3 linked regions of the Coturnix japonica genome follow. The protein of the gene in region 1 interacts with the protein of each later gene in a pairwise test. Links are inferred from orthologs where the notes say so. Each region holds a gene or a part of one and is shown on either strand. Other genes may lie near its edges.

The links.
Region 2: the proteins of APPL2 (region 1) and SUV39H2 interact in binary tests that used the Homo sapiens proteins (3 or more experiments, as listed by UniProt). The link is inferred for Coturnix japonica from reciprocal best matches to the Homo sapiens genes APPL2 and SUV39H2.
Region 3: the proteins of APPL2 (region 1) and RAB5C interact in binary tests that used the Homo sapiens proteins (3 or more experiments, as listed by UniProt). The two-hybrid records come from large-scale screens. The link is inferred for Coturnix japonica from reciprocal best matches to the Homo sapiens genes APPL2 and RAB5C.

Annotation. Positions count from the first base shown.
Region 1 is NC_029516.1:49,570,310-49,574,516, reverse strand, and holds the start of APPL2 (DCC-interacting protein 13-beta), read right to left. Parts: upstream 2,835-4,207; 5' UTR 2,659-2,834; coding exon 2,605-2,658; intron 1-2,604. UniProt on the Homo sapiens protein: Multifunctional adapter protein that binds to various membrane receptors, nuclear factors and signaling proteins to regulate many processes, such as cell proliferation, immune response, endosomal trafficking and cell metabolism.
Region 2 is NC_029516.1:6,627,698-6,630,642, forward strand, and holds part of SUV39H2 (histone-lysine N-methyltransferase SUV39H2), read left to right. Parts: intron 1-169; coding exon 170-316; intron 317-1,616; coding exon 1,617-1,746; intron 1,747-1,829; coding exon of another isoform or gene 1,830-1,900; exon of another isoform or gene 1,901-2,736; coding exon 2,737-2,846; 3' UTR 2,847-2,945. UniProt on the Homo sapiens protein: Histone methyltransferase that specifically trimethylates 'Lys-9' of histone H3 using monomethylated H3 'Lys-9' as substrate.
Region 3 is NC_029542.1:4,452,068-4,455,697, reverse strand, and holds the end of RAB5C (ras-related protein Rab-5C), read left to right. Parts: intron 1-482; coding exon 483-634; intron 635-941; coding exon 942-1,064; intron 1,065-1,442; coding exon 1,443-1,536; intron 1,537-1,905; coding exon 1,906-2,021; 3' UTR 2,022-3,078; downstream 3,079-3,630. UniProt on the Homo sapiens protein: The small GTPases Rab are key regulators of intracellular membrane trafficking, from the formation of transport vesicles to their fusion with membranes.

The sequences.
Region 1 (4,207 bases):
CAAAGCTAGGGGACATAACCACACCAAACAACTGAGTGCTCACCTACAACAGCAGGCACACAAGTACGCACGCATTCAGAGATACCCCCTACTTTCTCCATTCTGCCAGCTTGGCAACAAATTGAGTGGAAAAAAGAGCATAGCCACAAGTATTATCTTAAAGACATGAATCCCCTTGGCTTGTTTTGGTGGAATCATCAGGAACTGTGAAGTATGTTGCTTCTGAAATGGGGAAGTAAAATAACACAGAGTAACACTGAGCTCCAGTACACAATATTGCAATGTCACTAAATGAGACAAAGCCCCTTTAACAAAGTCACAATTCATCCTTAGTCTTAACGTTGGTAAATCCAATGAGTTTGATGCTAACTAGCAATGTCTTCCCATCTGCACAGCTAATTTATTCTGCTCCAATTAGATTCATCTGCTTACCTGAGGGGCACACATAAACTCCACTACCTTACTATTAACAGAGGGAGCACTTTATCCATCCTCCTATTACAGCAGCCTTCTCATATCTCTGAAGTACCCAGGTGCCAATGTGGCAAACTTACTGGAGAGCCTTAACACGGTTTTAAGTAGCTCCACCACATTAACAAGAGGTACTTTCCCAAGATGCTTATTTTTTGCCAATCAAGATTGTATCAGTCCTGAATAACTCAAAATCAACATCCTCCAAATTAAAAAGCAGTTGCCTGAACCATAGAATCACAGAATGATTTGGGCTGGAAGGAACCATTAAGACCATCTATTAATTTGCATACCTCATGCACTTTCTAAAACATGAGGTTATGTCCTCATTTTATTACCCCTCTGTCAGTGACTGCATGAGGCTGAAGAGAATCAGGTCACTTTATGTGTAAGTATGATCATATAAGTTTCTACATTGCAAGCTCTGTGGGAGAGAGACTGTGTCTGCTTCGATTTTGTAGTATCCAGCTCAGAGAGGAACAGGGAAAAGTTACAGAACTTGAAGAAGTGATGACCAACCCAAGCCAAAACAACCTGCAAACAACCAGGTTTATGCACAGCCCAGTATTTCCAGTAATTGAAAAGGATCTGTTAACAGCCTTCAGGTCAGAAGAAAGACTAAGACCTCCAAATTCAATCTGGTGCTTTGTTCAGCTGCTTTCACTCAGTGTTACATTTTTAATCATCGAAGGAAGCGTTGACTGAAGAGGAAAATGAGTTCACCTACCCTGTGTGTCAAGTTCTTTAGCTCCATAATACACAGGGGAGGTTGCTATTAAAAACATTAATAACTGCTCATAATAAATCTAGCACACTTTGGTACAGAGTGGAATACTGTACAGTTCAGGTCAGAAGGAACTCTGGAGGCCCTCTGGTCCAACCCCTGCTCAAAGCAGGCATCAGGCTTTTCAATACTGTTCCCAGTTGAGTATTGAAAATACTCAAGCTTTGAGATTCCATGACACATCAATATTTGACAAAAAATCATTCTTATTAAGGTAAGCTTTCATGAAATCACAGGAAAAAAGGTTAAGAAGTGCTCAAGATGAGCCTTAAGACTCCTTAACTCCTGACAGGTGCAAGTCCAATCTTTCCTTCAAATGTCTCATGACAGACTCTGTAACACCTTTTAGCCATCTGTTCCACAGTTTGCCTGTTGATTCCTCCTCCTGGCCCATCAGCAGATGAGTTCCAGTTACAGTATGGGGATACTTGGGAGCAGCACCCAAGCAAAGCCACCCTGCCCTTCTTTCTTCTCCTTTGCTTCACCCACTACTTCTGTATCTCTGCCTGCTTTGCATTTTGACCTCAAGTGTACCTTCCCCACCCTACTGGGAAATTTCCACTCTCTCTTTCCCCTTACTTCTTTCTTCCACCCCTCCTCTCATCCTCCCTTGCCAGCTCCCAAGGCCTCACATCTCCCTGGAACGCCCACCAGCCATCTTGACATGTCATGTTCTCTGCTATGGGTTTTCTACAGTGCTACTACTGCTTTTTGCAGTGAGGAGTGGGTGCTAGCATGGGAGCACAGAGCTTGCAAAGACTGGGAAGGAAAGAGTGACAACTGCCTGGCCTCCTTTCATTTAGAACGAGGTCACCTTCAGTAGGATTCAGCCCACTTACCCCCGAGGGAAGCCCTTGTATCTGACGTGCAGTCCTTGGGACCATTCACAAGTTGCAGAGGAGCGTGGCCACTGGCAGCCAGATTCACTAGCCTACTTCTGTTGCCTCTTTCCCCCACGTACCAGGAGGGAGTTAGGGCAACATGCCGTGCCCAAACACACCTCACCTCCAGCACACTCCGGATAGGACAGCGTGAGGGAAAAGCCATGGAGACGAGAACAGGCGTCGATCCCCGACCTGCCCACAGACGCAGACATCACCTGTTTTTCCCCGACAGGTGACCGTCAGGAAGCCAAAGCCTTCCCCCGACGCCACAGGGCCGCCACCAGCCGCAGAGCATCCCACGGGCTAAACCCCCCTGCCCATTTCTTCCGCCGGTCGGCAGCCGCCCCCCGGCCCCTGCCGTCCCTCTCTGCCGCGGACGCCTCTCTCCCCGCTCCCGACCCGCTCCCCGCCCGCCGACCCGCACAGCTTCAGCCGCGCCCCCCGGGCCGGCTCTGCTCCCGCTACCTGCGGGCTGTCCTGCAGAGCTTCTTCCAGGAGGAGCTTGTCCACGGCGGGCATCTTGGCGCTGGGTCGCAGGGCGGAGGGGCCCCGGGTTCGGCTGCGGGCGTCGCTCCCCACGGGGGCGGCCGCGGCTGTCCGTCCGTCAGTCAGTCCGCAGGCTGCGGGCACGGCGGCTGGCTGCGCTGGCGGGGCCGGAGCCGCTCACTCCTCCCAGTTCCCGTCTGTGGGAGGAAGCGAGTCACGGGGCAGGGCTGGCAGGGGGCGGCTTCCTGCCGCCATTAACTCCTCAGGGGCCACTGAGCTGTATGTAGCGGGAGGCTGGAGTCCCTAGATGTAAGATTCCTCTTCCTCTCCGCCCCAGATACCATGCTTACGGCTCTGTGCCCCACACAGCAAAAAGGAGCTGTGGGCCCTCCCCGCAGCTGAGGGAGATGCACTCTGGCTGCGAGGGAGCAGGATTGCGATGGAAATTAAGGGAAAAGTGCAACCTCTGGTCTCCGTCTGTGGGGCTTGAGGGCCTCTGGCAGTCTCTGGCCAGTTGCAGTGCTCCTTGGGGTGTCCCCACTGGGCTCAGGCCATGTACTGACCCTGCAGGCTCTGGGAAGCACCCCAAGTCCTGGGTGACTTTCTGGGTTCAGGGCAGTCTCTGGAGTAGCATGTCCAGGCCCAGGGCCCCAGCACAAGGAGGATGTGGAGCTCTTGGAGCAGGCCCACAGCAGGGCCGTGAAGATGCTCAGAGGGCTGTGGCACCTGCTCTGTGATGAAACACTGGAGGAGTTGGGTTTGTTCAACCTGGAGAAGAGATGGCTGCGGGGAGATCTCTTTGTAGCTTTCCAGAACTGGAAAGGCACTTATAAGCAGGAGCAAGACTCTAGTGGATGGCAACCCTGCAGGGGAGCAGAGCTTAGTCTTTAAGGTCCCTTCCTACCTAAGCTATTCTGTGATTCTACAGCTAAGCCAGGCATGCTTTCAGGCAGTCCTCATCAGGGGTGTTTGCATTTCTTCTTATTTATGGGCTATTCTGCAATCAGAATTACAAGGATGCAAAGTGCTTCGGGCATGTCACTTCCAGCTCAGTTTTTATAGCAGCCTCTAGTTCCTGAACTGCAAATCAATTAGAATAATAGAATCATTGAATATCCAAAGTTGTAAGGTACCTGTAAGGATCAAGCCTAACTCTTACACACTTGCCATCTGTAGCCTTTCATTGTTCCACTGTGGTTCAGGATGAAACTAGAGATAATAACATCTCTTTGCATCTGAATCTTGCTGGATTTTTCCACTTCTGTTATTCCTAAGCAATAATAAGCATTCTATATGGCAAGAAAGGTGACTGCTAATACAGCTCTTCTTGTTGATTAAAATACAGCCTTAGAAAAATGTTACAGATCAGCTGGATGATCATTTTATTTAATTATGTAAGAAATGTTAATTATGTAAGAAATCGTAGCTAAGGCATTTCTGAGGGTCTGACATGGATTGGTATTAATTCTGAAGCTTGTGATACGACCTTTAACCCAATGTGCCAACTCTGTCACAGTATGACTCCGCTCCAGCAGTCCTGAAGCTGGACTCCCTGTTACAGCCCCTACAGCAGGAACAGCAT
Region 2 (2,945 bases), about 43 Mb from region 1:
CATGTATTCTTTATTCATTATACACAAAATACTGTTTCAACGTGAAAAAAACCAACAACAAATGTGATATTTTTCCTAAGCAAAATTTTTCTAACTTGTGATTTTTATTTTAATGTAGTAATAGTTAATAATATGATGCAGGTTTCTCTTTGTTTTTATCTTTTTCTAGGTGATTACAAGTGAGGAAGCAGAGAGACGAGGCCAGTTCTATGACAACCAGGGAAATACGTACTTGTTTGACTTGGACTATGACTCAGATGAGTTTACAGTAGATGCAGCTCGATATGGAAACGTGTCCCACTTTGTGAATCACAGTGTAAGACCTTGGTTTCTATCCTGACTACTTAGAGAATTATCCTAATTGGGCCAGAAATATCTTGTCCTACTGCAGATATTTTCATACTATATTCACAATTCTTTCTGAAGTTTTTCATGCCAGTGCAATCTAGGCAGTTAGACGGCACAGTGCAATGATAGAATGCAATATCACAGTATCATAGTATCATAGTCTTGTGCGGGTTGGAAGGGACCTTAGAGATCATCGAGTCCAACCCCCAGGATTCCAGCCCCTGTGTAGCAGAGCGGCACTTCTGCCACTTGTGCCACAGGGGGATTCAAACCCAGGCCTCCAGTGTTGCAATGCAGCATTCCTACCACTGCACCACCGGGGCACACTGTTGAACTGAAGTACGTTAAACACGAAACCTTAACTATGTAAAGAAATTATAATGATGTTTAGTTCAATAGTGATCTGCTCGTTACCGATGTGTGCAGACTCTGTTCTACAAATATAGCACTGGAAATACAGTGCACTGCATCTTCAGATCCGTGAGCTGAAGACATCACTGGTATTTCATGCAGGCTGGATGGGGAAAAGCATGAGAAGTCTTATGTATGGTCTGCTCTTCCCTTTTGAAAATGGTAACAAAACATTCTTGCACTTGTAAAGTTAAAAGTCTGACTTGAAGTAACACTATGTGTTACTTGTAAAAAGCACGTCTGTAGTTTAACTGCAGTTTAACAGGCGTTTCAGTGACTATTGACTTCTGAAACTTCATCTGTCGAACATGAGAAAGCAGCTTATAGCTCACATGTAGTTTGCCTGACACCTCCCCTCCTGCCTGTACCAGATAATACAAAGCTGAGATTAGCAATTAAAAATAGTTACCTGCAGTATGAGAATATTATTTCTGGCCTAGAAGCAATGTTTGCACTCATTATTCTGCATTTATGTTTGTGTGGCTTAAGGTGCTGTGTTGGTTTCTTTTTGCATATTATTGCTCTTATTATTAAGCTTATTAATTATTTGCATGGATTTAGTCAGTACTTCACCTTTGTCTTTTTTTGTTGCTGTATTTTGAAGTTACCATTATTTTAAGTAGGCTGTTATATACTAATAGTCTCTGTACTGTGTGAAAGTTGCCTTCTTGAAAGGGCTCGGCCTTAAGCTCTGAATGGTCTCCGTTAACGCTATTTCAGAACTGTTGATTTTGGAACACAGATGACTTGACTTTTAGACTTCTGTCACTAAGCACCATTTCTCCCTCTCCCGAATACGTCAGTGAAATTTACTGTGCATTTCTTTAACAGAAACTTCATTAATTTTTGCTCCACAGTGTGATCCAAATCTTCAAGTCTTCAATGTATTTATCGATAACCTTGACCTGCGTCTTCCTCGAATAGCACTGTTTTCCACAAGAACCATTAAGGCTGGAGAGGAGCTGACCTTTGACTACCAGATGAAAGGTCTGCAGGTTTTATGTTGCTCTAGAGGGAAGTGGGGGGCAGCGGCTGATGTTGTTGCAGTCTGACTAATGTCGATGTTTTAGGTCAGGCATTGCATCTCACTAGATGTCCCTCACTGACAGCGCACAACCAGAAGCTTTGTGTGCACCTCTAGTGCATTACTTCCTTCAGCACTCCAGGTTCAAATCAAGAGGTTGTGTTGGAACCTCTGACAAGGTAGCTTGCTTTAAAGATCGGTCGCAGGACTGCTCAGAATCATGGTCAGGACAAAAAACATATTTAAGCTTCTTTTTCTTGAAGCTCTCATTTCAGGTAAACCGCTAGAGAATCTCCTTAGAAGCAACTGCTGAGTGATGTAAGGTACCGTAGGTGCATATAGTGATTGTTATGCAGAGACTTTGGGAAGAAATGTTCTTGGTAAAATGTTACCAGTTTCTATGATAATCGACTTTCCATTCAAGAATTCTATTTTCTTTTTCTTCCTTTCCCCAGTACAGTATAAGATGTTTGAACCTGGTTGGCAGTGGTGTTCTCTGTGTCAAACTGTGCATGCTTGTAAACCACTAAACCACATCATATTGTTTTCCCAGCTAATTCATTTCCAAAGAAGTATCTTTATGCTCCAGAGCTGAACCATGTTCTTGCCGAAGCTCTCTTTCAATACTGACCAAGTTCCCTTATTGAAATCTCTTTAAACCTCCCCCTTTTTTTTGTGATGCTTGTGATGCTGATGTTCAAGGCAGACTGTGGTCTCAGCTGACCAACATGCCTATAGGCTTGAGCTCATCGAGCTTTGGATGCTGACATGTGTGACAAGTGTTGGATAAGCAGTTGTAATGTGGGTGTTGGTAGAATTCAGCATAGCTTCACACACAATTCCTTCAAGAGCTGGGGTGGCAGAAAGCTTTTTGAAGCCGTTTGTCTTGAATTCCGAGCGCAATTTCAGTCTTTCCATTCAAATGTTCTTATTTGTGTCTATCTGTGTTACAGGTTCAATAGATCTGACTTCAGATTCTGCTGATGGTCTGAGCTCATCCAGAAAGAGGATCAGAACAGTGTGTAAATGCGGAGCTGTGTGCTGCAGAGGTTATCTCAACTGAGTTTGAGTACCCAAAGTCACAAATACTTGGTTCTCTTCTCTAAGAGTTTTAAGGAGACTCTTCTTTCATACATATATTATTCTTACAGCTTATGTAAAG
Region 3 (3,630 bases), on another chromosome or scaffold:
TGCTGTTCTACCTCAGTCCATGTTCAAGCCTGGCTGTATTAGAACTGAAATGAAAGTATGGCGTTATTCTTGCTGGAACAAGAAAATAACTGGTTTCTAGGCCAAGGAGTGCAGTGTAACTGGGCTGACTGCAGTGCTTTGGCACTGAGGCACTCTGTGAAGCTAATCCTCAGGGTGCTGCAGCTGTATTGTGTGGTCTGGGTGGTGACCCCTGGGGGTGGGTAGCAGTGTAATGTCAGGCTGCTTGCTGGGTGCTCGGAGCCACCTTTCTGTTGGCAGCCTGCTGCCTGGTGGCTCTCTGGTTCCCTCACATAAGTAGCTTGTAACACAGCAGAGCTGTGACTTGCACAGCAGGTGGCAGTGTGCTGGCCTGGCTGGGGCTTCTGCCAGCTCTTGTGCAAAAGCAGAACTGCTCTGAGCTGCTGGCTCTTGCTGGAGGAGCTCTCCAGCTGGAGACAAGGCAAACATCTCTTCTCTTTCAGCTGCCTTCCTAACGCAGACAGTTTGTCTGGATGACACAACGGTGAAGTTTGAAATATGGGACACGGCGGGACAGGAGCGGTATCACAGCCTGGCACCCATGTACTACCGAGGTGCTCAGGCAGCCATTGTTGTCTACGACATCACTAACACAGTGAGTACTGCACCAGGGCCTGAAGTGTCTGCTGGGAGGGAGGCATCTGCACTTATATCTGATGCTTCTCTGTTCCATGGGAGAGTTCTGGGCTTAGGGCTGCTGCAGATGCCTGCCTGCAGGTACTGAGTTTCTTAAACTCGCCACTTCCTTGTTTCTGATCAAGGCTGTCTAAGCTGATAAAGAATCCTGCTACAAAGTGCTGTAGAAGCAGAATGCTTCTTACAGGAAAGACTTGTTCTAATCATATCTTCATTGTGCATTATTAAGAGGCTGCCTTTCCTGACTGCCTCCTTTTTACTTCCAGGACACATTTGTACGAGCCAAGAACTGGGTGAAAGAGTTGCAGAGGCAGGCCAGCCCCAATATTGTAATTGCACTAGCAGGAAACAAGGCAGACCTTGCTACCAAGAGAGCTGTGGATTTCCAGGTAAGTGGGAATGTGGTTCAGCTGCTACCTGAGCAGCCGGGAAAGCAGCTCTCACATTGAGGTGTGTTAAACTCCCAGCCAACCAAAGTACAAGGTGTTAAGTTGCTTGAGACATAGTGTCCACATGTAGCTCACAAACAATCTGTGCTGCTGTATCCTGGCTCTGATGCTGGCACCTCAGCCATGTGCTCCTGTCAGTACTGCACGTCTATCAGCTGTCCTGGCCAGGCAGGGCTTGGGCTGGGGTGGAGGTGCCCAGTTTGGGCTGGGCAGAGGCTGTCTTCAGTGTTTAATAATGCCAGCAAGTGGAGTATGCGGAGCCTGCATGTGCCTCCTCCTGGCAGGATGCCTTTATCACTCTAACGTTATTGTTTCTAGGATGCACAAGCTTATGCAGATGACAACAGCTTGTTGTTCATGGAGACGTCGGCCAAGACAGCAATGAATGTGAATGAAATCTTCATGGCAATAGGTAAGTGTGGTGTGAAAGGGCTGCCTGGAGGAGCTCTGAGCACTGGCAGTACAGCCCACTGAAAACCACAGGGTCTGTGTCAGCTGGGTTCTGGAGGCTCTTACTGGAGTTTATGTGTGACCAGGTTGTTAGACCTGTGTGTGTGGTCACCCAGGTAGTGCAAACCTTGTTCCCTCTCTCCCTTTATCTGGAGTGAATGAGGGTGGAGCAGAATTGGTGACAGCTAAAAGCAGGTTTAATGTACTTGTGCTGCCAGCAGTGTCCTGAGAGCTGGAGGCTGGAGTAGAGCTGAGCTCAGCGTGTGGTCTGCAGTGGGGAGGAGGCTGGCCTCTATAAGAGCGACCTGCTGATACCTTGCTTCTTTCCTAGCCAAGAAACTGCCAAAAAATGAACCCCAGAATGCTCCAGGTGGTCCGGGCAGGAATCGGGTGGTCGACCTTCAGGAGAGCAGTCAGCCCAGCAGGAGCCAGTGCTGCAGCAATTGAGCAGCTGATCTCGCCCGATGGAGCCCTCGAAGGACGTGACTGGAATCCACGCTAACAATCGCACTTACCGTAGAGCAGCTGCTGCCGGTGGCTGCTGTGATTTCTCCATCCCTTTCTGATCATAGGCTGGAGGGAGTTCTTCCACCTGCACCTTTCTGTACAAATACTAATTCAATTCTAAGTCTTAAGTCACTTTTTTAATATATGAACTTCTGCTCTTCCCTCTTCCTGGTGGTGGTGGATGCACGACCTGGTGTCTGCCCAGCCAGCTCATCCCTCCCCACGGGTGAGGGCCAGCAGCACCCAGGTCCCACAGTACTGTAGTTCACTATTGGAAACAAAGGGATATTGAGACTAGACAGCCTTGTTTAAAGTTACCCACGTGTAAAAGCTGAGGCGAATACCAGTACGATATGCCTAGAACAACCACTAAACTGTAGCATTATAGTGACAAACTCCGGCTCTTCAGCCACTTATTGACCAAATCAATTATGAGTATTTTGGGGTGGGGCAGAGGGAAGAAAAACTGATTTCTTCTGTATTTTGTATTGTATGTTTCTTCATGTAACCAATCAGTATCTTGTCAATATAGAACATACAACTAGCTGCCTGTTGTCTTCATTTGTGTTGGACTCTCGCATGCCAACTTCTTTTCTCTCTGGTTCTGTCATACTGCACTCATCCTGTTGCAACTTTTGCAAAAAAAAGAAAAAGAGAATCTTGTATAGAAAATTGTCTTTTTTTGATGGTTGTGATGCCACGAATGTTAACCCCACCCTGGTGTGAATACACGTGGTTTACTGATGTACAGAAGTGGGGCAGGGGAAACCTCGGGTGACCTGTCAGTGAAAACTGTGTATTGCAAAAGCCTGTAATCCCACACGGTGTGAAGGGAGGTATTAAAATGGCTTCTCTTGCCAGACTCTAACTGATGTTGGCTGCTGCCTAGTGCCTAATGCAGTGTCTTATGCATACTGGTATTTAAGAGGAACTGTCAAGCTACTCTTCATCACAAACTTCAGTTTTGTGTGATTAAAGGAAAATTTTTATAAACCTACCACGATCAACAATGTTCGTGTTTCTTAACAAGCAGGAGGGGAGCGGAGTGGAGCAGAACATAACAGGCGTGGTGAGGCCCAGCTCTGCAAGGTGAGGGAGGGATTCCCGCATGGAGCTGCAGAGCCCCTGTCTGTTATGAGGAGCTGGAGCTGGTTTGCTGGCTCATCACAGTGTACAGCAGCATGATTGAGGTAAACAGTGAGAACTGCTCATCACTGCACTTCTGGGCTAACTAGCTATAGCAGGAGCTGAGGAGAGGTGGGAGGAGCAGTATGCATAGGAATGGGGAGTTTACACGACAGCTGGGTGAACTTAGAGATAGTGTGCTCAAATATTGGTCAGCAAATGCCTCTAGTATCTAAAGATGCTAATGTCATGTTTCTGTGTGGCTGTTCATGTGCTGGAGGAGCTCAGAACCCTCATGAGATGTCAGAGATCCCATCGCTTCCAGGATGGTTTGCTGGTGCTTCTGGATTCCCCAGCAGCGAGAGGGACCCGTTGGACAACTGTTACCGGCTCCCAACTGAGCAGCGGCTGGAACAGAGCGAGG